7 linked regions of the Rattus norvegicus genome follow. The protein of the gene in region 7 interacts with the protein of the main gene of each other region in a biochemical or structural test. Links are inferred from orthologs where the notes say so. Each region holds a gene or a part of one and is shown on either strand. Other genes may lie near its edges.

Region 1 (4,079 bases), on a different chromosome or scaffold from region 7:
GTAGAACAAACTTGTGCACAAGGTGCACTGGTAAGACAACAGCAGGAGGTCTCACAGGCGAGCCAGGTCCAGTCAGACAGCAGCTGATCACTGCAGAACACTTGGGTCACTACTGTCCCCTGTAGTGGGGCATCTGCCCCTGCAGTGTGGGTGGTGGGCACTGCGGTAGGCTGACTGCAGCAGGGAGGGAGGCTGTGACTCAGACACTGTCATCAGCAATAGGGGTAGTGAAAAGTGGAACTTCAGCCAGCCTTGCTCCAAGTCTCTGGGCCTCCCTGGCCAAGGATTCCTAAGTGGTACCTGCCTGGGGACTTATAGCTTCTGGTGTGGCTTCTCGGAGTGTCATGTCCACCGGGGCCAGGCACCTCTGTCCAAACTTGTGCTTAATTAATTAGTTAGGTTTTATTTGCTTTATTTTTTTTTTTTGAGGCAAGGTCTCACTAGGTAGCTCTCTATTGTAGCCCAGGCTAGGCTCCAGCTCACAGAGATCCTCCTGCCTCTGCTTCCCGAGTGCTGGGAGTGCTCCACAGCAGACTGGCTGATGTTTCTGAAAGTACAGACTGACCAGGCTGCAGCCTGCCTTGTTCGCCTCCCCAGACAGGGAGCTCTTTCCTACTCATAGCATCTGCGCGTGCCCGAGCCGTTCCAAGCTCCCAGCTTTCCCGGGGTGGGCAACGGAAGGCTAGGACTCAGCGGGGACCCGAGAGCACCCGGCACTCAGCAGCACCCCGCCCGGACGGAGTGGGAGGAGGAGCGGGAGGAGGTGGCAGCGCGGCCGTAGAGAGGCCGGCGCTAGGACCCGCAGGGGCTCCGAGCCGGTCCCCTCCATCCTTGCCCCAAAATGAGGAAGCCTTGCAAGTTGCTCGGAGTTGAGCCACCAGGGCGCTCGGCCGGCTGGCAGGGACCCTCCAGGGGTCGCGCCCTAAGCAGGTGAGCGCGTGTGCGTGGGTGGAAAGGGGACACCACTTCGAAACGGTCCTGGACCCAGGAGCGTCGGGTGCAACGGGCTGGTTTTTTTGTTTTATTTTGTTTTTCCTGGGTGCGGCGTGCGCGTCTCTGAGTGCGCGAGCCCCGGTGGTCACTGCAAAGCCCTTGTGCGCCTGAGGCACGCGCACAGGTGCACGGGTCTCGCTGGCGCCCGTGTGGCGCACACGGGGGTGGCTGGTGGCACCTGTGCCTGGATGCACGTGCGCCTCCGCCTGCGCGGCTGCCGTGCAAACCCCATTGAGCCCGAGGCCAGGAGCGCACCCCAACCTCCCGCCCTGCCCCCTGCCAGCCACCAGCCAGGGACCCAGGCAGCCACAGTCCTGCGGTGCCGCACTGGGATGGGGTGGGTCCTCTCAGATGTTTCTTTAGTGACCCGTGGTGACCTAAGGAGCCTGGAGCCTTACAGGAATCCGGCCTCTCCAGGCTCCGCTCAGGGTCAGATTTTCAAGAATGACCTTGAGTCACGGCCCCTGCCCACCGCCTCTGCCCACAGCCCAGGAAAGAGGAAGCCACAGGCCCAGCTCTTCCTCACACACGGCCCTGGCTTCCACTCGGGACACCAGAGCACTCCACTCCTACCTCAGTTTCCCTTCCCGAGCAAAGGCAGGGCGAGGTTCCCGAGTCTCCTGGCTGGCCTTTGGTGGCCGGGAGTCTAAGGATCTTCCTCGGGTAAAGATCACTTCCCTAAAGCCAAGGGCTGCAGAGGGGCTCCACACCTAAGCTATCCAAGCGGTGATCTGAGGGAGGCACTTTGCTTCCTGGCTGCTACCTCCGCCAGGCCAGGCCAGACCCTGAGGAAGGAACTGGACCTGGGGACACTCCCAGCATGAGACTGCCTCCCTTCACAGGTGAACCCTCAATTCTAAGGAGCTTGGCACCCCACGCCTGCTGCAGCTAAGATGCCAACGGTGAGTGTGGGGCCCTGAGTCACCGGACCTTTTGGGGAGAATAGGACATGCCCCCTACAGTCCCCAAGGACCCCGCCATACTGGCCTCTGTGGCTGTTTCCCTACGCCCTCCCTTCCTTCCCCAGACTTCCCTTTATCTTATTTGACTTCTGAGACAGGGTCTCAGTATGTAGGTGTGCTTGGGATTTGATGCGTAGCCCAGGCTAGTCTCAAACTCACAGAGGTTCACTTACCCCTGCCCTGTCATCCCCCAACCCACCCTGATTCTAGGATTACAAGTGTCCATCACCACGCCAGGCATCTTCCGTTAGTTTTTGAGACCAAGTCTCACTGTAGCCCAGGCTGTCCTTTAGCTGGTCTGGAACTCCTCCTGCCTGAGCCACTTGATAGCTTCCTACAGGCTTGTGTCTTCACTGTTCCCTTGTCCTGTCTTCTGTCCCCACCAGCCCCAGCTTTTTTTCAGGTCTCTCAGGTTTCCCACTTGTCCCGCAGTAGGTCCCTGACATCCCCCTATCCCCACCCCACCCCCCGCCTCTGTCTCCTTCCCAGCAACGCTGGGCCCCTGGGACTCAATGTATGACCAAGTGCGAGAACTCACGCCCCAAGCCCGGTGAGCTAGCCTTTCGAAAGGGTGACATGGTGACCATCTTGGAGGCCTGTGAGGTGAGAGGGGGGCTGGAGGGTAGGTGGTGTGCCTTAGGGGCGCCAGGGCAGACATCCACTGGCTCCTTCCCTCCACCTGTCCCCTTCCTGTGCAGGACAAGAGCTGGTACCGAGCCAAGCACCACAGCAGTGGGCAGGAAGGGCTGCTGGCGGCTGCTGCTCTGCGACAGAGGGAGGCCCTTTCCACAGACCCCAAGCTCAGCCTCATGCCGTGAGTGACACCCTGGGGGTGGCATGAAGGCCCCAGCCACCTTCCACGGTGGCCTCACACAGCACCCTCCCCACACATCCCCACAGATGGTTCCATGGCAAGATTTCCGGTCAGGAAGCCATACAGCAGCTGCAGCCACCCGAGGATGGGCTGTTCCTCGTGAGGGAATCGGCCCGTCACCCTGGTGACTATGTCCTGTGTGTCAGTTTCGGCCGTGATGTCATCCACTACCGTGTCTTGCATCGAGATGGGCACCTCACCATTGATGAGGCCGTGTGTTTCTGTAATCTGATGGACATGGTAGAGGTGACCTGTGGGGGAGGCTGGGGCGGGAGGGGTGGAAATGTGGATGGTGGGCCCCAGCAGCTGTCATTTCTGTCTTTAGAACTGGGGTCACCTCCCCAGGGCGCCCTCAGCTTCCATTCTAACACCCCACACTGTTGCCATGGGAACGTGCTCACCTTAGCCTGGCACTCAGGGGAGTCTGCCAACCTCATGGAGTTTGGGTTGGGGGTAGTGGAAATGGGATCTGAGAGCCAGAGGCTCATGGCCGCCGGCTTCCACAGCACTACACCAGGGACAAGGGCGCCATCTGCACCAAGCTGGTGAAGCCCAAGAGGAAACAGGGCGCAAAGTCCGCAGAGGAAGAGCTCGCCAAGGGTATGAGCACTGCTCCTGCGATAGGTAGCTTCTGCGTGCACACCAGGGAGACTCCCACCTCCCGGACTCCCACCCTCATGCCCCAGCCCTGGCTTGGTTAAGCCCTTGCACCTTGCAACCCTGTCACACTTTTCCAGTGGGGTCTGGAGTCCCAGAGACAAAAATCACAGTGGAGAGAGCTGTCTGTCGCGTTTGAATTTTCAGCGTGGGGGCAGGGTGGGGGCTAGAGGTCTTTGAGAGGGAGGGAAGGAGGGAAAAAGGGAGGGCTTTCAGAGACAACTGCAGGTCTGTGCAGAGTACAAGATTAGGGAGACTACAGCCCTGGAAGATTCTAGAACTTTTATTCTGTGTGGATCAGCAAGGGGAAAAAAGGTCCTCCCAGAGGCATGGAAGGCCACAAGGGCAGCCACACTTCTTGTCCCCAGAGGGAGGTCCTGGAGCCATGGCTCATGTCTAGGGGACCTAGGAGACCTAGGGGGATTGTACTCTGATGGAAGCCAGGGCAGCTCTGGCTTGCAGGATTTAAACGGTACCAGGAGTGGGGTGTCCTTCAGACAGCCTTAGTGCAGCTGCTGGGGCAGGCACATGCTCAGGTGTGCACAGCTGTGGGGATGGATGTCAGCTCTCCAAGTCTCACTGAATGCAAGCTG
Region 2 (2,442 bases), on a different chromosome or scaffold from region 7:
GAAGCCATGATTAGAAAACAAAGAAAATTATAGAACTTAATTTTGGATATCTGAGGTTCCTGGGCATTGTGAAGTTTCTTTCTTTTCAATAATGTTTTAATCATTTCTGTGTTTAAGTAGTCAGTCAGTAAAAACTCTCATTTTAATCTAAGTTTTTCTTTGGAGTGGTCTTTTGGGATCTCTTGGGTTAGGTGAACATGCGTTTCCTCCTCTCACTGTGCCCACACACAGGTGGTTGCTGGAGGAGATGTGAGTGTGGTCACGGGTCATCAGCAAGAGCTTGCCAATCCTTGCCTTGCTTTCACTGGGCTGACTTCCAGCACTATATTTCCGGATGACTTAGGGTGAGCAATACATTATCGGGTGTGTCATTTATTCCTTGAGACAGTTGCAGTCTCTGTCCCATGTTCCGGGCACTCACACTGAGGTAAAATAAATGGAGAGGGCATATAAAGTAGAGAGTGTCAATGCTTCTAGTCAGCTAGTCAGATGGGTGGGTTACAGACCACTGCCTGGTCAGAACTGCCTCGAGTATAAACAGTTACCTAGTAAGAGATGAATAGACTACAGACAGCTATTCACCCTACCACACTTCCTGAATTTTCAGTTTTGATATTTTTGAGAGGATATTTTCTTGCTCTTGTTCATTGAACTTTGATTGAAAATACTGAATATATTAGAAAATAACACTAAATATAAAAGCATTGGGAAAGATGAAAAGTAAAGAGAGACATTTAAATTTTCAAGTTATTTGATGCTGCCCTCATTTTGTTCACAATTGACTTTCCTGTCTGAAGTTGAAACTATTGTTTATGACCTTGCATTATGGCCCTTTGAACTTTCATCCCCTCACAATAAGCTGGAAAAAATGAGAATGAGAGTTTCTGTGCCATGAGAACATGTAATAAATAGCATCTTCCTTATCTGTAAATGCAGAATATGCTAGCTATAGTCTGAGTCAGGTAAAGCACAGAGCCAAGGGTTGGGGTGGGGGTGTTTGTGCGCACATGCATACATATGCGTGTGCACATTCAGTTGGGAAACCTTTTTTCTCCTTTCCTTTTCTGTAGCCCTCCACAGTCTAAGACCATAACACTAGACCGAGGACCAGATGGCTTAGGCTTCAGCATTGTAGGTGGCTATGGCAGCCCTCATGGAGACTTACCAATTTATGTTAAAACAGTGTTCGCAAAGGTAAGCTTGCAGTTGTTAACCACTCTGTTCCTTACTAAACATTAATTAACACTGGTCAGCAGCTGGCTTATTAGTTTATGGCCTGAGGTGATGCCAAATGGTTAACACTGATATTTTCTTTTGAAATCCCTGCAGGAACAGGTCATTAAATATTTTTGTCCTGTTTGAGGTTTCATTATGTTTAGAGAAAACTAGTTCAAATTGTAACTCCATGGAAACTCTCAGCAATATACATGACATAATCAATGAAGCCTGTCCTTTCCATTTAATAGCAAGTCACATACGATTATCTTTGGAAAATGGACTTGCATAAAATGTCTACTGTCGAGGACTGGCACGCTTTCCCCTGTGTTCCTTTATAGTTGTGAAACCTAAAGTAGGTACTGAAAAATACACAGAATTAATCTCACATCATGACTAGGGTGTTTATACATTTGAAGAGTGGTGAGCAGACCTGCTGTCTACAATAAAGCATTATTTGCAATCAAGGAATTCAATTACTTTGGAAAAGAAAGCTCTGTATATAGTTGTAGTCATCTACTAAACTATCTTGGGAATGTTTAGAATAAGAATAAAGAGACCGTAGTTTTGATGAAGTCATTAAAATAATAGAAATGCATATAATGGTTGATAATGTGTTATTAAGACCTATTTTCGAAGACTACAAAATTGAATAATGTTTCCTGCAGAAGAAAACTAAGAATCTAACATTTTACAGCACAAAATAGTGGAGTGAACATCAGGCCTACAGAGACTTCGTTCGGTCTCTTTAAATTCTATGGCCCTTGATTTTATGGAAGTTCCTATTATTTTAGAAAAATACTACTATTTTCAACCAATTTAAAGTGCTGTTCCGTGGCAAACTAGCTGTAGGCTTAATTTGTGAGATTTTTTTTTAAAGTTATTGGTATATCCAAAAATACAGACAGCATTTGCCAATGAATAGAAGCACCATGCAATCCTTTCCCTCGGCCTAGGAACAATTTATTTCAGGCTTGCTAGTTAGAACATATTTTAAGAATTTCATCATTATACTCTCCTCATTAACTTTTCCATATTTTTAATCTTATATTTAATTGCATAATTATCGTCTATGTGCGTGCCTTAGATGGAGTTCTTTTTTAAATAGTGATGTCTGTGTTTAATCATAATTATTTAGGGCCTATAGGAATAAGAAGAATCTCTTTTCCCTTGTAGTAAAAACCAAGACGGCTTGAGCAGGCTTTCCTTGCAAAGCGTAGAAAGGAT
Region 3 (4,147 bases), on a different chromosome or scaffold from region 7:
GCATTGGGTGCCATGAAGCCTTCTGCTTGGTCCCTCTGTGTCGAGGTCTCAGGACCTCTCAAACTTTCTCTCCCTTTCATCTTTCATTTGGTTGTTTATTAAGCACCTGCTGTGTACCTCACTCTGTGCGCACCAGGAATTAAAAGGAGAGGGGGTTACATATAGCCAAGGCTGGTACAGTAGTCTGGGGGCTCCTGAAAGGATTTGGAGACCCCCTTCTAAAGGATATGACTTGAAACATTTTTGTTGCTTGCTCTTCCTTCCCTCCCTCCCTCCCTCCTTCCCTCCCTCCCTCCCTCCCTCTCTCCCTTCTTCCTTTCTTCTGTGCGCTTATGGGAAGGCATGTATGTGAACCACGAATGTGTGAAGGTCAGACGTCAGAGGACAGCTTGCAGGACCCTTTCTCCCATCTCTCTCTCCACCATGTGGGTTCTGGGGACTGAACTGAGGTCAGCAGGGTTTATGATAGGTGCCTTTACCTGCTGAGCCATCTCCCCAACCCAGGAAGTGACTTTGAGCTGAGAGTTGAAGTAAACTGATTGGGGAGATGTCTTAGTAAGGGTTATACTGCTGTGAACAGACACCACAACCAAAGCAACTCTCATAAGGACAACATTTAATCATTTAATCGGAGCCGGCTTACATATTCACAGGTTCAGTCCATTATCATCAAGGTGGGAACATGGCAGCATCTAGATAGGCATGGTGCAGGAGAAACTGAGAGTTCTACATCTTCATCTGAAGGCTGCTGGCGGAATACTGGCTTCCAGGCACCTAGGATGAGGGTCTTATAGCCCACACCCACAGTAACACACCTACTCCAACAGGGCCACACTTTCTAATAGTGCTGATCCCTGGGCCAAGCATATACAAACCATCACAGGAGGGGAAGTTGTCAGGGAATTTGCAAAGGTCTTGTGGCTGGAAGGCCTGGCCATCTCCTCTTCAAGCCACTATACTGCTGCTTCAATTAACACTTTTAACACCTTTCCCCCAGTGTTAGACAACTTGTCAGACATGTATTCATTCAGCAAAACTTAAATGAGTCCCTCCTATGTGCTGGGGACACAGATATGACTCGTGTCCCTGCCTATGAAAGACTAAAGCTGACTTTGGGTCCTGCTGGACCCAGGGCTTTGGACTGGTATATATGTCTTCTATCTGTAGCTGTGTCCTAAGGCGCCAACATCTCATTTTACAGGTGAAACTGTGAGACGAACTCTCCCAGGGTGGCAGGGTCCCCTTCTCAGGACCTTAGTCTGCCTATCTGTTTAGTGGGTAGGGTGTCTTGTCTGTTCCCAGATCTCTCCTCTACCTGGGGGATTTCTGTCGCCCCCAGCCAGGACCATGGGCAGCAACAAGAGCAAGCCCAAGGACGCCAGCCAGAGGCGCCGCAGCCTGGAGCCCGCGGAGAACGTGCATGGGGCAGGTGGCGCCTTCCCTGCCTCACAGACACCAAGCAAGCCTGCCTCCGCCGATGGCCACCGCGGGCCCAATGCCGCCTTTGTGCCCCCCGCGGCCGCCGAGCCCAAGCTCTTCGGAGGCTTCAACTCCTCGGACACTGTCACCTCCCCACAAAGGGCGGGGCCTCTGGCAGGTAGGCCCTCCTCCTTGCTGAGTGTCCCAGAGCTGTGGTGCACCCTTTCTGGGTTCTGGGGACTTGGTTTTCCAGAGGCTGCGAATGGAGAAGGGCTCGTAAACTGGAAAGCGGGGCTCCTGCCGCTTTGGGGATGCCAGATTCAGAGTATAACGGGTTCCGAAGGAGAGGGTTGTAGGGGACCCCGAGACCCGGAGGAGAAGGACCACCATGGACTAGCTGCCACCTCCCGCCCAGCCTTTGTTCCTGGCTCTGTTGTGTGGTGGCCCGAGTGCGCCCCTGCGCCCTCTGCTGGCGCTGCGTGGTGCGGCAACCCTGCCGCCCAGGGGCTGAGCAGGGTGACTCATGCTCCTGCATACATGGCTACACCCACACGAGCAAATCCCACGCTCTGACGGAGCCATACTCACGGCTGCACACCCGTGCGTGCAAATCCCGCACTCGGACTCAGCCACACGCACGGCTGCACACCCACTCGTTCAGATCCCACCCAGACTCAGCCATGCTATGTGCCCACATTGGGCATGTCCTCGCACTGAGTGGAGACGACAACAACAACAAAAGGCCCCCAGTGTTCCTAGAGACACACCTAGGCTAGACGCCTGCAGTGCGGAGCACACACAGACACAGGTGTGCATACAACCTCGCCCCCTCAGGTGGGCCTGTGCGCCTGCTTGCACGCAGAAAGCAGACATGGGCTAAGGTTCCCAGCCCCACATCCCACCACAGACCCTTGGACAGGCTGCCCACTCCCTGCCATGCAGCCACACACCCATTCGACCATTTGAGAGGCGTTTGTGGAGCCTTGGGCAACGGAGGGTGGGCTGCAGGAGTCCAAGGAGCAGCCGTGGGTGAGGGGAGAATCAGGAGAAGAGTCCTGAAGCTTTGCACCAAAGCCTTAAGTTGCCAGGCACACATATAGGCGGGGCTTAGGGCACCTATTGTGTGCTGGGTCTGAGTGCAGAGCAAGGGAACCTGTTCTCTGGGGCTTCTGCTTGTGTCAGTAGACATATCAGATAAGGAGCACCTAGTCTGCAGCCCGGCAGGGAGGCACAGGCTACTTAGCTCCCTCTCAGGGACAGGCTGGTGAGTGAGAAAGGCAGCCTCCCACGCCCACCCCCTGCAGGGTTCTGACACCTCCCATCCCACTCTGCAGGTGGGGTGACTACCTTTGTGGCCCTCTATGACTATGAGTCACGGACAGAGACTGACCTGTCCTTCAAGAAAGGGGAGCGGCTGCAGATTGTCAATAACACGTGAGTGGATGGACGGGGACTGCACTGGGAGCGTGGGTCCATCTATACCCAGAGCTGCCGGCAGAGGGCGGTGCAGAGCCTACAGGGCTGCTTCTGCAGTTGGTGGGTGGTGGTCCTCCCTAGACCCCGACTAGTCTCCTCCCTTGTCCTGGGTCCTGTCTTCGCACCTCAGCCTCTCCTTCTCTCTGCTTCTCTCTCGCTGGCCCTTAGGAGGAAGGTGGATGTCAGGTGTGTACCGAGGCCAGGTAGAGGGGGATGCTTCGCTGAGGCTGGGGACTGCTCTCTGCATGTGCTTCCTCCACTACCCCTGTGTGTCTCCAGCTCTCTCCCTGTCCTTTTAGCTTATCCTGCATCCCACCTGTTTGATCCGACCCTCCATTTTCTCCCCACACCTTCCCGTTAGCTCTCTTCCTCCCTCTTCTGGTGTGTGATTCCATGACTGGGTGCCAGCTACTTGCAGGACCCAGTGTATTCTGGAGGCCAGGGAGGGAGGCAGTGTGGTGGGGAATGGGTTACCCCAGACTAGGCCAGGGGTGGGTAGGAGCAGTCTGGGGTCCCTGCAAGATGACCCTGAGAGAGGGGGCTGTCTCTATCGGACTGCCCATCCAAGGAAGGACAGTAAGCTACTGCAGGTAAGGGTGGGCAGTCTCCCTGGGAGGGGGGCAGCTGATGGTCTGTGCTGGGCTGAGGACCTCTCCCTGGAGCAGGTAAGGCTTGGGGACTTTGATCTGAGCTGTTCTGGAGGGTAGAGAGGATCCGTCAGAGAGTGCTCCCAAGTCCTGGCTAAAGAGGTGGGTTTTCCATTTCCCTATGCGTGTCTCGGTGCTCATACCTCCTGATCCTTGTGCATGCTACTCCGTTTGCCTGAAATATTTCTTCTCCTGTATCCACCTGGTGAACTCCTATTCACCCCTCAAGATCCAGGGTAGGGCTGCCCTCCCTGCAAGCAGGTGCCATGTGCTGTTCTGGCCACTCTCATTCATACCCCTCCATCTTGTTATCACTGGTCTTGGGGGCAGCAGTGACGGGGGAGGGGCTGCTCTAGTTTGTGAACGAGGAAACTGAGGCTCAGAGTCATGAAGGCCCTTGTCAGAGGTCACGTGACTGCCAAGTAGTAAGCCCAGAATGGAGCCTGCTCTCCTTTCTCTGGACTGGCACCTGGGGAGGGGCCTCCTCAGTACCTCCTTCAGTGGCCAGCGCTCCTTCCATCCTCATGGGAAGCCCCTGAGTCCCCATGTCCCCAGCTGTTGATAGAATTGGTGGCCAGGAGGAGAAGCGGTGTGACCCTGGTGCT
Region 4 (4,126 bases), on a different chromosome or scaffold from region 7:
ACTTTGGCTTATTAACTTTTTTTTTTAAACAATGGCAACTGGGCTAATTAATAATCAAAGCAAATTTGGAATAGTCCTCTCTTATAAGAATGACTGGACAGTATGCTTGTTCCAAAAAATTACTGATGGGGGTTTCAGGCTAATATATTTCTTACAAAAATAACAAAGTGCTTTGCTTTTTAAAAAAATTATTCCTCAATTACATGTAAAAATGTTGAAGGGTTTTGGGAACAAGAACGATATATATATTATTTTTAATTAATTAATTTTTTTTAGGGCAGTAGGATCTGGATTTGAACTCTGCTACTTGACTATTTGGGGAAATTAACCTCTTAGGGCTATTTCTTAATCTGTAAAATGGAAAAGACACACACACTCGTGGACACACACACACACACACACACACACACACACACACACGGGAGGGGAGGGATAGAAACACACACCAGGCTCTACACACTAGGCCCATGGAAAAGAGATAATGCATGAATAGTTCTTGCACAACACCTAGTATGTAATAAAAGATACATCGCTTAAGCGTGTGAGCTATTACCATGAACATTCCATTCTTTCCGATTTTACAGACTTTCCTAACCTAAAAGTGGAACTTCCAAAACCCTTGCTGTGAGAACCCATACATTTAGTGACCTATGTTTTCCAAAGGTACTGTAGTAAACTGTTGAAAACTGCATCTCCCTCAGTAATATTTGATTCTGAGTCAATTATTTTCTCACTAAAGTAATAGAGGAGAAACAAAAGGAAAAAGGAAAGGAAGGAAGGGAAGGAAGGGAAGTAGAAAGAAAAGGAAAGAAAAACTGGCTAAGACAATGGCTAAACCATGGAGTGTAATTAAACTTTTTGTTGTTGGTTCTATTTCCCCGAGGCGGGGTAGAAGAAAAGTCTTTGCTCAGAACCAAGTGAAGTCCTCCCCGCCGCACCGCTCCAGAGCTGGGACCCTCTCCAGAGCGCACAGTACAACGCGGGTCCCCGGACAGTACTGGGTGAGCCTGCTAAGGAGCTGGGACTCTCGGAGCCCAGCGCGCGGCGCGGGCGGCTACTGCAGGTTGTTCAGCGGCATCGGAGACACCCGGTGCCTCATGGACTCTGGCCAGTACCCAGACAGGGGACGCACCAGGCTCGATCGGTCCAACCTCTGGGACAATCCCCGCCCTTCAGCGCGCTCCCGGGTCTCCCAGCCTAGGCTCAGCGCGCAGCTTGCCTCCCGGAGGCTCCGGAAGGGAAGGAGGCGTGTCCGGAGCGGGCGGGCGGGCTCTGTATAAAAAGCGCTGGCGGCGCAGCAGCCCGGGCTTCATTTGCTGTCTGTCACCGGGACTGAGAGTGCCGCGGGAAAGCAACGGCCAAGGACGGGGCGCTGCGCTCGAGCTACCCAATGCTGGGACTATCTGCAGCCGCTGCTCGTGCAATATGCTGGAGCTCCAGAACAGCTAAACGGAGTCGCCACACCGCTGCCTGGGCTGGATCGCAGCGCTGCCTTTCCTTATGAAGAAGACACAAGTGAGTAGGGCACGCCCGGGAGGAGCTCGGAGGCTTTCCAAGAAAATCACTCCCGGAGCCCCGGGGAGCCCGGCGCACCCTGGGACCGGCAACCGGGCCATGTGGGGCTGCGCCCGCCCGGTGAGCCAGGAGGGTGTGGGAGAGGCAGGCGTGGTGTGCGAGCCGGAGCCGCCGCCCCGGGGGTGAGCCCGGGAGCTGGGGAGAGCCAGGGCTGAGAGTGAGCCTGTGGCAAGTTTGCAGCCGCAGCTGCAAAGTTTGAAGCTGTCAGTGGCAAACCGCAGATGCAGGCTTCCCTCTTCGGCCTGGGGGTTCGAGTTATCACGGGGAAGGCTTGTTTTTTTGGGGCCGGAGGTCTCTCCCTGTGGATTCGGGTAGATTATGAAACAGCTTCCCACGCGCTACCCTCGCTCGCTCGCTCGCTCTCACAGTCAGATTTATCTGTGCAGTCCCCAGGTGGGCGCGGGACGCGGTGCGGACGCGGGTGCAGCCGCTGGAGCGAAGCCAACCCAGAACTCCTAGGCGGCAGCGCCAGGCGGGGTGCAGAACCTGCCCAGCAGGCGGGGGAAACTTGGCAGCCTGCGGTGTCGGCCGGGTTCACAGCTCTGGGTGGGCCCTCCAGAAAGCTCTAGATGGAGTAGTAGTACTTCCACACTGCATGACACCCCCTTCCATTACAAAACAGTAAAAGTTCTTTTCTTCTTTCTTCTTCTTCTTCTTCTTCTTCTTCTTCTTCTTCTTCTTCTTCTTCTTCTTCTTCTTCTTCTTCTTCTTCTTCTTCTTCTTCTTCTTCTTCTTCTCCTCCTCCTCCTCCTCCTCCTCCTCCTCCTCCTCCTCCTCCTCCTCCTCCTCCTCCTCCTCCTCCTCCTCCTCTTCTTCTTCTTCCTTCTTTTTTTTAAATGTGCATCTCCTAAGGATAGTTATTGAGATAATGTCCAGGGTCTCTAAATTGCGCTTTATGCATAAAACACAGCCCGGGGGTACAATTATGTCTTTTCTTCGTTGACGGCGGAGGGGGCGTAGAAAGAGCCTCTGTAGTAATCTTGTTCTCTTCTACAGTTCTTTTTAGCCTCGTGGTTGCTATCTCTTCAAGATTCTTCCTTTCCGAATTTGTTCTGTCATCCGCAGCAGGTTGGGTAAAGCTGCTCTTTCACACACACACACACACACACACACACACACACACACACACACACCCACACACACCCGCCCCCAATTCTATAGTTGATTGAAATCTCTGAAATGTGTAGAAGGGGATGGGATTCGAGGGTTTGTGCTCTTTTTCAGCATAGATGAAGATATCAATGTGCTGCCAGTAATTTATTAAATTGCTCATAGGACGTCTTATTTTAAATAGATATCTAGCCTGGGATCCGACCCTTTAGGAAACAGCAAGAATAAAGCACCTTTCCCTGGCTTAGAAACGAATAAGGGAAGCAGTATGGCCTGCCTGTCACCCTGGAGGTGCTCTTCTTAGAACACTTGCCCTGAGTGGGGCTCAGGGGAAAGCAGGTATCCGCCCCTGCGTGCAGGTCAGTTTTTACCCAAAGCATCCCACCTGAGATCCTGCTCTTGAGATGAGGATGTTAAGAATTGCAACAAAGAAAAGTTTCGCCCTGATTGCTTGGTGTGTACATGCCTTCTGTTTGGTAGAATAATAAACAAGGGTGGGGTAGCTATTCCTTTTTTTTTTTTTTTAAAGTAGCATCCGCTTACATGAATAATGGTGGCTGCTCTGAGTGTGGCAGCCCCCGACACAGGAAGAGAGTCCGAGCCTTCTTATTTAAACAAGAAAACAGGAGACAGACAAGGTTAATGTCCAACAGTCAAAGCAGAGCTGTGCGCTGTGGAGTCACTTTGAGAGTCAGTAGGATTGATGTTCCCTGCGCCCTCTTTGCAAAACAAGCGAGAGCCCTGTAATCTCTTTTCTCGCTTTGATTAAATGGCTGTGTAAATAGGATTACATGGAATAATTCCATTGAAAACTAGAAAGAGGTCGATCTAGCCCGAAACGCTGTGGCGGTGGCCGTGGCGGCAGTGACTCAGTGCTGCCGACCAGAGATATTTGAGACAGTTAAGTATTTTAGAAATGTGACCTGTTTGGACCAAGTTAAAGTGCAGGCCCTTTGGGGGGGACATGCTGCTGATAAAGGGTTTGTAGGCAAAAAGAGGGCGGTGCTTTCATTGAATGGAAGCATTCATTGTCTGGAATCTAATGACCTTCAAGGTTTCCTTTAAGGATACTTCTAGCAATTCACATTCTTGTCCCTGAAAGAGAGGGCTCTGGAAATGACTTAAAATCAATAAAATAATCCCTTCTAATGAAGGAGGGGATTAGATTCTCTTTACTATTGTCAAATCTCCTGATCCAAGAGCCAAAAAGAAATGTTCTGTGCCACCCTGAATGTGTAGAGAGAGAGAGAGCATGGTGTAAGGGAACTGGACACTAAGAAAACGATCCAGGCTTTTGGCTTCTTTAATCTGATGTTATCTTAGCCTGGGAGGAAAATCTATTGTTATTAAATAGCCTACTGTAAATATGGGATCGATACCAACTTCCCTTATTGCACCCCCACCCCCATTCAATATACTCTCTTTACCCAATAAATAAAAA
Region 5 (3,500 bases), on a different chromosome or scaffold from region 7:
ATTGAGAACTGTGTCTAGGGTTACTTGCCAACAGTAGTGCTTCCCATGTATGTACATGTGCTGTACGGGGTCGAGTGACGGGGCATGCCCCTCCGCTTTACTCCACACGGCCCCATTGTCTTACCTCTGCAGTGTGCAGTAAAAGCTCTCTTCGACTACAAGGCCCAGAGAGAGGATGAGCTGACTTTTACCAAGAGCGCCATCATCCAGAATGTGGAAAAGCAAGATGGTGGCTGGTAAGATAGGCGGTCCAGGCTAGAGAGCCTGTGGTGTGGTGGTACAGGAGTCCAGGGCCCCTGTGGAGCTGGCACTGAAAGCCCTTGTGACAGATGCTTTGAGCATTTGTCTCCTGTTCACGAGCAGTGTTTGCCTTGGCTTGCCTTATGTGTGGGAATCCCCCAAGAAGATCTTGAGAGTTCGGGGTGGGTGCTGGAGTCAGTGCCCTGTGGCTTCCACAGGTGGCGTGGGGACTATGGTGGGAAGAAGCAGCTGTGGTTCCCCTCAAACTATGTGGAAGAGATGATCAATCCAGCAATCCTAGAGCCGGAGAGGGAGGTATGTCTGCAAACACACAGTGTCACAGGTTTGTTTCCCTGACCCCAGGTTCTCTTTTGATGTGTCTATCACACCCAGGCCTTCCTGTCATCTGTGAGCCACACATCCTGTGTGGCCACACTCTAGTCTCTATTGTACGTATGTCATGCTTGGCTGGTCGTGAATATACCAAAGATAGTCAAAAATCCCCTCAGTTGAGCACGCAGCAGCCAGCTGACCATCCTGTGGTTTTGCCTCCTACAGCATCTGGATGAGAACAGCCCACTGGGGGACTTGCTGCGAGGGGTCTTAGATGTGCCAGCCTGCCAGATCGGTGAGCTCCAGTTCCTAGCCCGTGATTCCTCTTAGTGTCAGGGTGTCCTTGTGACTCTGTCTGCTCCTGGAGAGGAAGCCAGTGGCTGAGTCTCCAGAGGCTACTCTTCCACTCTGGAAATCGCAGACTCCTTTGTCATCTGTAAATTTTACTCTGTGCCAGGTACAATGGAGTCAAAAGTTGGCAGAGACCCCGACAAGCTGACATCCAGTCCTAATGGTTTAGACCACAGGGTTGGGACAGGAGCTTGGAGATGGGTTAGGGTGGGGGTTACAAAACATGGCTCCATGGAAGAGGTATGAGTCAGATGGGTTGGAGCCTTGGCTGCACCACAGCCACTACGGTATATATGTCTGACAGCAGACTCCTCTGTGGACTGGAGCTGTGTACCAGTTTTGCCTGTTTGTAAGTACCGCTAGGAAGAAACGGAACGAATTCCTTTGAGCTAGTGTCTAGGGCAGTGCTTCTCAGCCTGTGCATTTCAACCCCTTTGGAGGCCTAACAACCCTTTCACGGGGTCTGCATATCAGATATTTACATTATGATTTATAAATGTAGCAAAATTATGAAGTAGCAATGAAATGGTTTATGGTTGGGGGGTCACCACAGCATGAGGAACTATATTGAAGGGTTCACAGCATCAGAAAGAACAAAATGAGAGCATTCTTAGCCCTGTATTATTTTACCCCCAACAGCCATTCGTCCTGAGGGCAAAAACAACCGGCTCTTCGTCTTCTCCATCAGCATGCCGTCAGTGGCTCAGTGGTCCCTAGACGTTGCCGCTGACTCACAGGAGGAGTTGCAGGACTGGGTGAAAAAGATCCGTGAAGTTGCCCAGACTGCAGATGCCAGGGTGAGAACCTGCCAGAGCTTAGAAGGTGCTGCTGCAGTCTTTGAGGGCACTCGTGGGCCTGCCCAGGAGCCAAGGCCTCCAACTCCCCGGCTAGCTCCTCTAGCGAGGGTAACTGATGTGGCCTGGCCTTAGATAAGGTGCCCAGAAGAACAGACTCAAGACAGGATTGTGATGGATGGACTTAGGAAATGTTGAACATTAAATACTGTGGATCACCTGAAAGAGTAAAGGCCAGAGCTAAGAGAAGAGGGGTCCTGGGCTGGCAGCAGGAGTGGAATCAGGCTTAGAAGAGATGAGATGGTAAAGGTAAGAAGAGGGTTTAGGGAAACATTTGTAACAGGGTGGGGGTCTGGGACAGGAGGCAGAGAAGTTGCAGATACCCACCCACAGCAGTGGAGCTTGGCTAGCTGAGGGCCACAGAGGTGTGGTAAGAATGCTGTCCATTGGCTTTAGCAAAGCAGCAGATACTCCTAGTGACACAACTGAGGTCTCTTAGTGGCATGACAAGGTTGGATGGCAGTGGGTCCTAGGGAGTTTAGAGTGACTAGCATGAAGAGCTGGGAGCTGGCCTTGGTGGAGAGTAGGTAGCTTGCATTGTTGGAGGAGACCTCTTCCATTGAGCCTGGTGGAGCATTGCAGACGTGTAGGAACCTCTACTTAGAGGCTGTGCCCCAGTGCATTTGGTGAGCAGATTTGTGACTAGAGGATTTTGTTAGTGTGTCCTGGAGGGCAGGGTACTGAAAGATACAGGGGCTGAAGGGCTAGATCCTCCAAGAGGTGTGTGGGGAGTGTCTGAGTAGGCTGCAGCTAAGGTCAGGGATAGTAGAGGAAGGTTGTGTTAGCCATGGAGGACATGAGGTGGTAAGATCGTCTAAGGCACACATTGCCAAGTGGGCCTAAGGCCTTAAGGAATCAGGAAGCATTGTTTTTGCTGAAGGATGAGGCTAGGTAAAGAATAATCAGAAAGCATTACTGGGAAAGCCTTGCCCACCTTCGCTCCATGTGAGGTCATTTGGGACATTAAGTTATGGTGGGGGAACAAGTGTATCTGTGGAGACAAAGGAAAAGATATTTTTTTTTGGATGAAACTGGCAGCCAGTAGTTTTGTTTACTGTCTGCTGGTATTTAAAATGTGCAAGGAGAGGAGAGGGCCTCAGAACATCTGAAGTGAATGTGTACCCAAGGCTGGCAGGAGCTTCCTTCTCCTGGGCAGGGCTCAGCCTGGGCCTTGTGTGTGTCTCCAGCTTACTGAGGGGAAGATGATGGAGAGGAGGAAGAAGATCGCCTTGGAGCTCTCCGAGCTCGTGGTCTACTGCCGGCCTGTTCCCTTTGACGAAGAGAGTAAGGCTGGGTCCAGGTGTGGTGTGCATGCGCCGAGGGGCTGGGGGTGTGAGAGTGGTGTTTAATGCCCTCTCCCTTACATACACTGCACAAGGGGGCCGCTCTATACATGCTCTCACTGTTTGGCTCAGAGATTGGCACAGAACGCGCTTGTTACCGGGACATGTCCTCCTTTCCGGAAACCAAGGCTGAGAAGTATGTGAACAAGGCCAAAGGCAAGAAGTTCCTCCAGTACAACCGGCTGCAGCTCTCTCGCATCTACCCTAAGGGTCAGAGGCTGGACTCCTCCAATTATGACCCTCTGCCCATGTGGATCTGTGGCAGCCAGCTTGTAGCTCTCAATTTTCAGACCCCAGGTGAGGGGATCCTCTGTGGGTGGGGAGAGACACTTAGGGCAGTTCCGCTAGAATGTACTGTAATCCCACTCTTCCAGACAAG
Region 6 (3,500 bases), on a different chromosome or scaffold from region 7:
CTACCTGCCTCTGCCTCCCAAGTGCTAGAATTAAGTTGTGCACCTCCACTGCCCAGCTATCATATACCATTCTTATTGATACAAGTATATAATTTTTCTTACCCTCAAATCTTTCCAAATCTTTTTTTTAGATGGTATTTTGGCAAAATGGGGAGAAAAGATGCTGAAAGATTACTTCTGAATCCTGGGAATCAGCGAGGTATATTCTTAGTAAGAGAAAGTGAAACTACTAAAGGTATGAGTATCATATTAATATGTGCATGGAATTCATTAACCGTAGTTCAAGGAAACTGGAATGAATGTGTTCATTCCCACTTTCTCCGCAGGTGCTTATTCCCTCTCAATTCGTGATTGGGATGAGGTAAGGGGTGACAATGTGAAGCATTACAAAATCAGAAAACTTGACAACGGTGGATACTACATCACGACCAGAGCTCAGTTTGATACTCTACAGAAACTGGTGAAGCATTACACAGGTTAGTGAACACTTCAGAGGTAGGAATTAATCCTTTATGTTCTATTTTATGAAGACAAGTTTATCAAACTTTAATCTCATTTATATCTACACACAGTAAATGCCCAATAAATGTTGGTATTCTGGGTTGGGTTTTTGTTTTGTTTTGTTTTTGAAAATTATTTGTGTATAATGTGACTGTGTGTACGTACGCACACATGCTATGGTACATATGTGAAGGTTAGGTGACAATGAGTCAGTTCTCTCCTCATCCTATGTGGGTTCTGTGGATGAAACTTAAGTTGTCAGGCTTGACCACAGGTACTAGCTGAGCCATCTTGCTGGTGCTGTGCTCTAGTTTCAAAATGAGGAACAAGACTTGCATCTTGCCCAGGTGGTAGAGCAGGACCCTGACTCAGAGAAATAAATAATGATGATACCTGGAAACTGAATTGGGTTATAGGATAGCATGCGCAAATCAAACTGTTATTGAAATTGTTATGTCTTCCTGGCATGGTATTTACATTGGAGTTCTAGATCATAATATATAAATGCTAAGATAGATTGTGACAATAAATTAAAAAACATGACAACAGACACTTTATTTTTGTACACTAAGTAGCTAAAATTAAACCTTAAACTTGTAGTATAAAAAAGCTTTCTCAGACCTGAAATTGTAGCTCAGTGGTAAAGCACTTAATTATGTGTGCAGAAGTTTCTTCTCCAGCACTGCTAAAAGGAAAAGAAAGAATAGAGTCATAAGCCCTCAAATGCCTTCTTTGATTTCCTTCTGTAGAAGCTGAATCTATTAATACCTTCTAAAATATAAACCCTACCAAATCCAATTTGAAGATGCTATTTCTTACCAAAGAAAAAATGAACTTATAGCAACTATAGACATTCTTATCTATAGAATGTCTTTTGAATTCTATTCTGGAGTCCTGGGTCTTAAAATTTTTCATTGTCAATTAGATATGTAAGTGCATCTGAAAATTTTTAAATAATTAGAGGGGAGGTTTCCATGGCAATTCTTCTGTGACAGCTAGCAGCAAACAAACTATCAAGTCAATCAACAAGTTTGCCATTGATTGAAAGTGTTGTTAAGCTAGCATTACTTGTAATTGCCTTTGTTATAAAGGATTTAAGTGGTTACTTGATGAGAATGGGAGGAAATGTGTCTCATTTACAATGAGAGGTTTTATATAAGCAGGATACACAAACCAAGCCATTTTGAATCTGGACTGGCTGCCTTCAGGTCTCCTTTATTTAAAATTCAAACTCTTATATCAACTTCTTCCTTGATTTTCAGAGTTTTACGAATTAGTGGTTATTATAAATAACAACTAATAATGCATCTCCCTGGGGGAATACATGAATCTTAATGGTCAAAAGCATTTTAAGCTGTGGTGCAGGCCTGTAATTCCCTCACTTAGAAGGCTAAGGCAGGAAGAATCTGAATTCAACTCTCAGATACCCTACTACCTGCCAAAAAGCAGAGTGGAGTTTTGGAAGCAGACAGACTTGTGTTTGAATGTTCTTATTTACTAGCAGGGACCTTGAGACAGTTCTCTTAGCTTTTCCAATCTCAATTTATATGAAAGATTTATGTAGTGCTGACTGACATAATAACATAAGCATACATACTCAATAAATATTAGCATAAAATATATTTCTAAAGTTTCATTTATATATACTCCATCTTCTATTGAAAGCTTCCCATGTTATATATCTTTTTAGAATAATACTGATAGGAGACTGATTTAAATTTAATGACGAGCTTTTAAAGAAAAACAAATAATAAGCCAAATATGGTGGCATATACCTTTAATCCTAGAAGCAGGTAAATCTCTGAGTTCAATCCAGGCCAGCCAAGGCTACATAGTGAGATCTATCTCAAAGATTGATCAAATAAAAATCATCATATGATTACAGACACTAATGTTCTATTTGTCTTAGAAAGTGATTCATTTGCAGTGTACCCTTTTATCTATCTAGAACATGCTGATGGATTATGCCACAAATTAACAACCGTCTGTCCAACTGTGAAACCGCAGACTCAAGGTCTCGCAAAAGACGCTTGGGAAATCCCTCGAGAGTCTTTGCGACTCGAGGTTAAACTAGGTCAAGGATGCTTTGGTGAAGTGTGGATGGGTAAGAAGCCCAAGCTTTGTTGTTACTTCATTTTGTTATATGGCCATAAGTTAAAATAGCAAAATATTTTATTATATAATACAACTTTTATTGTTGATTACATTTTGATCTAAAATTCCTTAAAATACAGATTGAAAGAGTAAAATAAATTGTTCTTTCTAGGAACATGGAATGGAACCACAAAAGTAGCAATCAAAACACTAAAGCCAGGTACAATGATGCCAGAAGCATTCCTTCAAGAAGCTCAGATAATGAAAAAATTAAGACACGATAAACTTGTTCCGCTCTATGCAGTTGTTTCTGAAGAGCCAATTTATATTGTCACTGAGTTTATGTCAAAAGGTATGTACATATGAATCGTTTTTTAAAGGATTGTGTTACAATGAAACAATTTTAATCTTAGATAAAAAAACATACAATATATCTTAGTCATATCATATTTTTTCTCAGATCCCCATTCAACCCACCCACCCACCAAACTTTATATTCCTTCTCTTAGAAAGACAGACAAAAAAGTATGAAGACAAACCCAACACAAAATTAAAAACAAAAACATGGAGTTCATTTTGTGTTGCCCAACTGTTCCTGAGCATGCAACCTTCTCTGGGGTGTTTTTGATATACCCAGTGTCTCTCCATTGGAAAAACTGATTTTCCCCTTTCTCAGCAGTTGTCAATTGCAAATAGGCTCTTGGTTAGGAGTTGAACCATGTGCTTTGCCTTTTCTGTGCTAGGATTTATCGGTGTGAACTCTGCAGGTATTGTGCATGCTATATATGTGTGTGTGTTTGTGAGTTCCTATATGTATCAGACTTGCTGTGTCTAGAAAATGCTGTTATCCTGGAGTCATCTACCACTTCTGGCACTTGAATAGAGCCCTGAGCCTTGATGGAGAG
Region 7 (3,500 bases):
GTGTCATTCATCTGTGAGTCAATCTTGATGCTTTTAAAAACCTTCGTGTTGTATTTATTCGTGTGTATGGGGGGCAGTGTGTACCACAGCATGCACATGGGGAGGTTAACGGACAACTAGTGAGAGTCAGTTCTCTCTCTAGTTGGGTGTCTGGAATCAAACTTAGATAGTCAGAATTGGTGGCAGTCGGCTTTACCTGCTGGGTAAAGCCCCTCCCCCGCTCTAGTTCTTTGCTTGCTCCGTCCCTGTTGCTTAACCAACATCCTGTCAGACGGAAGCCGTTGTTCCCTTCCTATAAATGAAGAACTAGAGTGAGGAGAGGGATTTGGAAGCTTCACCAGTTGGATTGTCCACCTCACACCTGCCTTGCTGGTTCCTGCAGCGATTCGTTCACCCACGCTTCCCATCTCTGTCCGCACAATGCCCACCGCTAAGTGCACTCATCCTCAAAGGACCAGAAGCCTTGGAGTACTACAGTGCCACTAGAACCGGGCACTAGACGTTCACCTTGCTTTCACTTCAGGAGCAATTTCCAGAATTCGAGATCGTCGAATATCAATTGATTATTGTAGCTACACAGGGCTGTCGAATTAGAGTCTTCCTGCTGGCACAATTTATGTTTTTGCTGATTATACCCAGGCTGTAGATAAATGTATGAACGGGACTCTGGGGCTCATCTCGGCCTCCTTTTCTGTGTGTGCTTTGAGGGAAATGAAGGTTTAGCCTCTCCCACTGCCTCTCACTGTCGTGGTCTAGCTTTCCTGTAAGTATGACAATCCAGGTCTTCTCAGCACCACCTCTTGCACTGCCTGAAAGGAGTGCATAGCTTCTGTTTTTCTGCAATAGCATCTAATTTCATCCATTCCAGTCCCTATAGCAACATGAGGTGTTGGAGCAGGTAGGGTGGCTTGAAGACTTATGGGCAAGGAGTCCACGTTAAGAAAGCTGATTTGGACCTGAGGCAGAAACTAGCCAGGCTGGTCTTGCAGGCTCTGGGCTACAGAGTTCCTTGGGATCCTTATACCTTGAGGTGGATGGGGAGGATCCGGGCAAGGCCGCACAGCATACCCACTGACCCCTCGTGCCACCTCTGGGTGTCTAGCAAGTCCCTCGGGTTCCTCAGCTGCTTCTGGATGGTCTAGGGATGGGAAGAGAGAGAAAATGGAGAAGAATCATGCCGTGGTTGTTCAGCCGACTGACGTGGCTATTTCTCTTCCTGCAGCAAAACCAGAAATCCTGACATATGACAGGCTCATGAATGGCAGGCTCCAGTGTGTGGCGGCGGGATTCCCGGAGCCCACAATAGATTGGTATTTTTGTACAGGGGCAGAGCAAAGGTGAGAAGATTATTTTTGGCACTGCTTAAAATGCAGAAGGGAAGGGCTATAATTCGCTTGAATTTCAAATGTGTTTTCAGACTTGCTATTTATTTTTTAGAATAAAAGACTGTCTTTTGATTATTTTTTTCCCTCCTATATCTGAGTGGCTTCTTAAGAAGGGATAATGGCTATACTTTTCCTGGTCGACATTAATTTTTGTTTGCTGAAAAATGATTACTGAGTGACTTCTCTATTTTGGTGGTTTATCTTTTTGGGTTTATCATGCAATTTCTAGCCCGCAGGTAGATAAAGCAATTTCCCAGGACAGAGTAATTAGATTTCCATTCTATACACAGGAGGTAGTGTGTGTGGGAAATGTGGCTGCAGTTATCATGAAAAAAAATTACCTCAGAAGTTAATTGCCAAGTAACCAAAAAGTAATGATCGCACAATTACAACACACATATGGCATTTGTGAGCAGTGGGTTCGCAAAAGTGTTTCTCCTTGATTAGGTGCCCAGCCCCCGAAACAAGGAGCATCTGCCACTGTGTGGCTTTTCCCTTGAAGTCCACACTTAAGCCTTAAATTGTCCTCTCGAATTACCTGAGGATGGAAATGGGGTCAGCGTTGCCGTTTTTTTTTTTTTTTTTTTTTTACCCATAAAACACCATGTTATACTCCAGCCTTAAAAGACTTAGGTTGGCCTCATAAATAGTAGTGGAAATCTTATTTTTCACTGAAGATGTTTTATGACAACATATCAGGACTGATTGTATCGAATGATTGTTTTAGTGTGGGTTTTAGCAGATCGTTTGGTTTGAGGGAACAATAAAGAAGGCATAAGAACTCTGAACATCGTGCCCTCTGTGGCCTGGCCTGAGTGTATTATCTCTCCTGCTCAGCAGAGTGTTTAAGTGGAAACGAACCGTGTGCCAAATGTTGGGGTAGCATGCACCATGCGAGGCTGTGCCCACGCCTCTGTCTTGCTGGATCTGTATTTTATGGCTGGAGAGAGACAGCAGACAGGGCGAACTGACGTGTGTAGGTGTTTCAAAGACAATGGGAAAAGAGGGGTTTCGGGACTGTCTCTCAAAGAGAAGACCCTGCAGCCAGAGTGGCCACCGCCACACGATGGGACCACTTCCAACATGGACCCTGGGCTCCTCCTTTTGAGTCTTTCTTGTCTTCCTTCTTGTTGATTTCTTCCAATTTCCTCCTCCGACCTCTCCATCTTCAGCCATCACACATCCTTTCTGAGAATCTGGCCTGGCAGCATCGGTTGCTGGCAGCCATTTTTGAGTCTCTTGAAGATGGTACAGCCATAAAAACCTAACCCTGGAGAATTCACAGAACCTGGTAGAAGTCCCTAAGAGTGAGGATAGAAGTCCACATCCAACCCCTAAACCTCACTTCCTCCTTCCACTCTTCTGCAGTGCCTTCCTCGCTCACAGGGCCCCAAGGGGTTTGTCTCTCCTCAGGCCGTCCTGGTCGGTAGGTATGGCGGGGAGTCTGAGTTTCTAGCTTTGCCATCAAGGTGCCAGGCCTTCATTTGACTTCCTGGCATAAGCCCACACTGTCGTCGTCCTCTTGTTGTAGGTGTACCGTTCCTGTCCCGCCAGTAGACGTACAGATCCAGAATGCGTCTGTGTCACCATTTGGAAAACTGGTGGTTCAGAGTTCCATAGACTCCAGCGTCTTCCGGCACAACGGCACGGTGGAGTGTAAGGCCTCCAACGCTGTGGGCAAGAGCTCTGCCTTCTTTAACTTTGCATTTAAAGGTAACAGCAAAGGTATATTTCCTTTTAATCCAATTTAAGGGGTGTTTAGGCTCTGTCCACCATACCATAATCTTACATCCATTCCAATATTGGTCATATCATCTCTGGTTGTGCTAGCATCATATCGTGCTGCTATCGAACTCACAGACTCGTTCCATATTAATCTGCTGGTGAAGGTTTTGCCTTTACCGATGCAATCTTAACCATTTTTCTTTCCCTGGTCTCCGTGTGTTTGTATGCACTTCCTGACTAGGAGTAATAGATGCACAATTATAGTTGGGTAGGGGAGCTTCCCTACCTTATGCACCAGTATAATTAGGACACATTAGAAATTGTTAAATTCGGGGCTGGGGATTTAGCTCAGTGGTAGAGCGCTTGCCTAGGAAGCGCAAGGCCCTGGGT

What was found.
Region 1: the proteins of Kit (region 7) and Matk form a complex in vitro, tested with the Homo sapiens proteins (2 studies listed by BioGRID). The link is inferred for Rattus norvegicus from reciprocal best matches to the Homo sapiens genes KIT and MATK.
Region 2: the proteins of Kit (region 7) and Mpdz form a complex in vitro, tested with the Homo sapiens proteins (2 studies listed by BioGRID and IntAct, with this or other methods). The link is inferred for Rattus norvegicus from reciprocal best matches to the Homo sapiens genes KIT and MPDZ.
Region 3: the proteins of Kit (region 7) and Src form a complex in vitro, tested with the Homo sapiens proteins (3 studies listed by BioGRID and IntAct, with this or other methods). The link is inferred for Rattus norvegicus from reciprocal best matches to the Homo sapiens genes KIT and SRC.
Region 4: the proteins of Kit (region 7) and Kitlg form a complex in vitro, tested with the Homo sapiens proteins (3 studies listed by BioGRID and IntAct, with this or other methods). The link is inferred for Rattus norvegicus from reciprocal best matches to the Homo sapiens genes KIT and KITLG.
Region 5: the proteins of Kit (region 7) and Plcg1 form a complex in vitro, tested with the Homo sapiens proteins (3 studies listed by BioGRID and IntAct, with this or other methods). The link is inferred for Rattus norvegicus from reciprocal best matches to the Homo sapiens genes KIT and PLCG1.
Region 6: the proteins of Kit (region 7) and Yes1 form a complex in vitro, tested with the Homo sapiens proteins (2 studies listed by BioGRID and IntAct, with this or other methods). The link is inferred for Rattus norvegicus from reciprocal best matches to the Homo sapiens genes KIT and YES1.

What each region holds. Positions count from the first base shown.
Region 1 is NC_086025.1:9,109,947-9,114,025, reverse strand, and holds the start of Matk (megakaryocyte-associated tyrosine-protein kinase), read left to right. Parts: upstream 1-1,279; 5' UTR 1,280-1,330; intron 1,331-1,367; exon of another isoform or gene 1,368-1,656; intron 1,657-1,835; 5' UTR 1,836-1,886; coding exon 1,887-1,895; intron 1,896-2,444; coding exon 2,445-2,558; intron 2,559-2,653; coding exon 2,654-2,769; intron 2,770-2,855; coding exon 2,856-3,075; intron 3,076-3,335; coding exon 3,336-3,429; intron 3,430-4,079.
Region 2 is NC_086023.1:100,814,063-100,816,504, reverse strand, and holds part of Mpdz (multiple PDZ domain protein), read left to right. Parts: intron 1-231; coding exon 232-344; intron 345-1,070; coding exon 1,071-1,194; intron 1,195-2,442. UniProt on the Homo sapiens protein: Member of the NMDAR signaling complex that may play a role in control of AMPAR potentiation and synaptic plasticity in excitatory synapses. Promotes clustering of HT2RC at the cell surface.
Region 3 is NC_086021.1:166,543,341-166,547,487, forward strand, and holds the start of Src (proto-oncogene tyrosine-protein kinase Src), read left to right. Parts: upstream 1-1,347; coding exon 1,348-1,597; intron 1,598-2,753; coding exon 2,754-2,853; intron 2,854-3,063; coding exon 3,064-3,081; intron 3,082-4,147. UniProt on the Homo sapiens protein: Non-receptor protein tyrosine kinase which is activated following engagement of many different classes of cellular receptors including immune response receptors, integrins and other adhesion receptors, receptor protein tyrosine kinases, G protein-coupled receptors as well as cytokine receptors.
Region 4 is NC_086025.1:36,781,334-36,785,459, forward strand, and holds the start of Kitlg (kit ligand isoform 1 precursor), read left to right. Parts: upstream 1-1,326; 5' UTR 1,327-1,500; coding exon 1,501-1,515; intron 1,516-4,126. UniProt on the Homo sapiens protein: Ligand for the receptor-type protein-tyrosine kinase KIT. Plays an essential role in the regulation of cell survival and proliferation, hematopoiesis, stem cell maintenance, gametogenesis, mast cell development, migration and function, and in melanogenesis.
Region 5 is NC_086021.1:169,829,299-169,832,798, forward strand, and holds part of Plcg1 (1-phosphatidylinositol 4,5-bisphosphate phosphodiesterase gamma-1), read left to right. Parts: intron 1-132; coding exon 133-236; intron 237-458; coding exon 459-555; intron 556-798; coding exon 799-868; intron 869-1,563; coding exon 1,564-1,721; intron 1,722-2,965; coding exon 2,966-3,062; intron 3,063-3,193; coding exon 3,194-3,418; intron 3,419-3,495; coding exon 3,496-3,500. UniProt on the Homo sapiens protein: Mediates the production of the second messenger molecules diacylglycerol (DAG) and inositol 1,4,5-trisphosphate (IP3). Plays an important role in the regulation of intracellular signaling cascades.
Region 6 is NC_086027.1:120,684,860-120,688,359, forward strand, and holds part of Yes1 (tyrosine-protein kinase Yes), read left to right. Parts: intron 1-131; coding exon 132-235; intron 236-326; coding exon 327-476; intron 477-2,449; coding exon 2,450-2,605; intron 2,606-2,767; coding exon 2,768-2,947; intron 2,948-3,500. UniProt on the Homo sapiens protein: Non-receptor protein tyrosine kinase that is involved in the regulation of cell growth and survival, apoptosis, cell-cell adhesion, cytoskeleton remodeling, and differentiation.
Region 7 is NC_086032.1:32,916,313-32,919,812, reverse strand, and holds part of Kit (mast/stem cell growth factor receptor Kit precursor), read left to right. Parts: intron 1-1,222; coding exon 1,223-1,337; intron 1,338-2,916; coding exon 2,917-3,110; intron 3,111-3,500. UniProt on the Homo sapiens protein: Tyrosine-protein kinase that acts as a cell-surface receptor for the cytokine KITLG/SCF and plays an essential role in the regulation of cell survival and proliferation, hematopoiesis, stem cell maintenance, gametogenesis, mast cell development, migration and function, and in melanogenesis.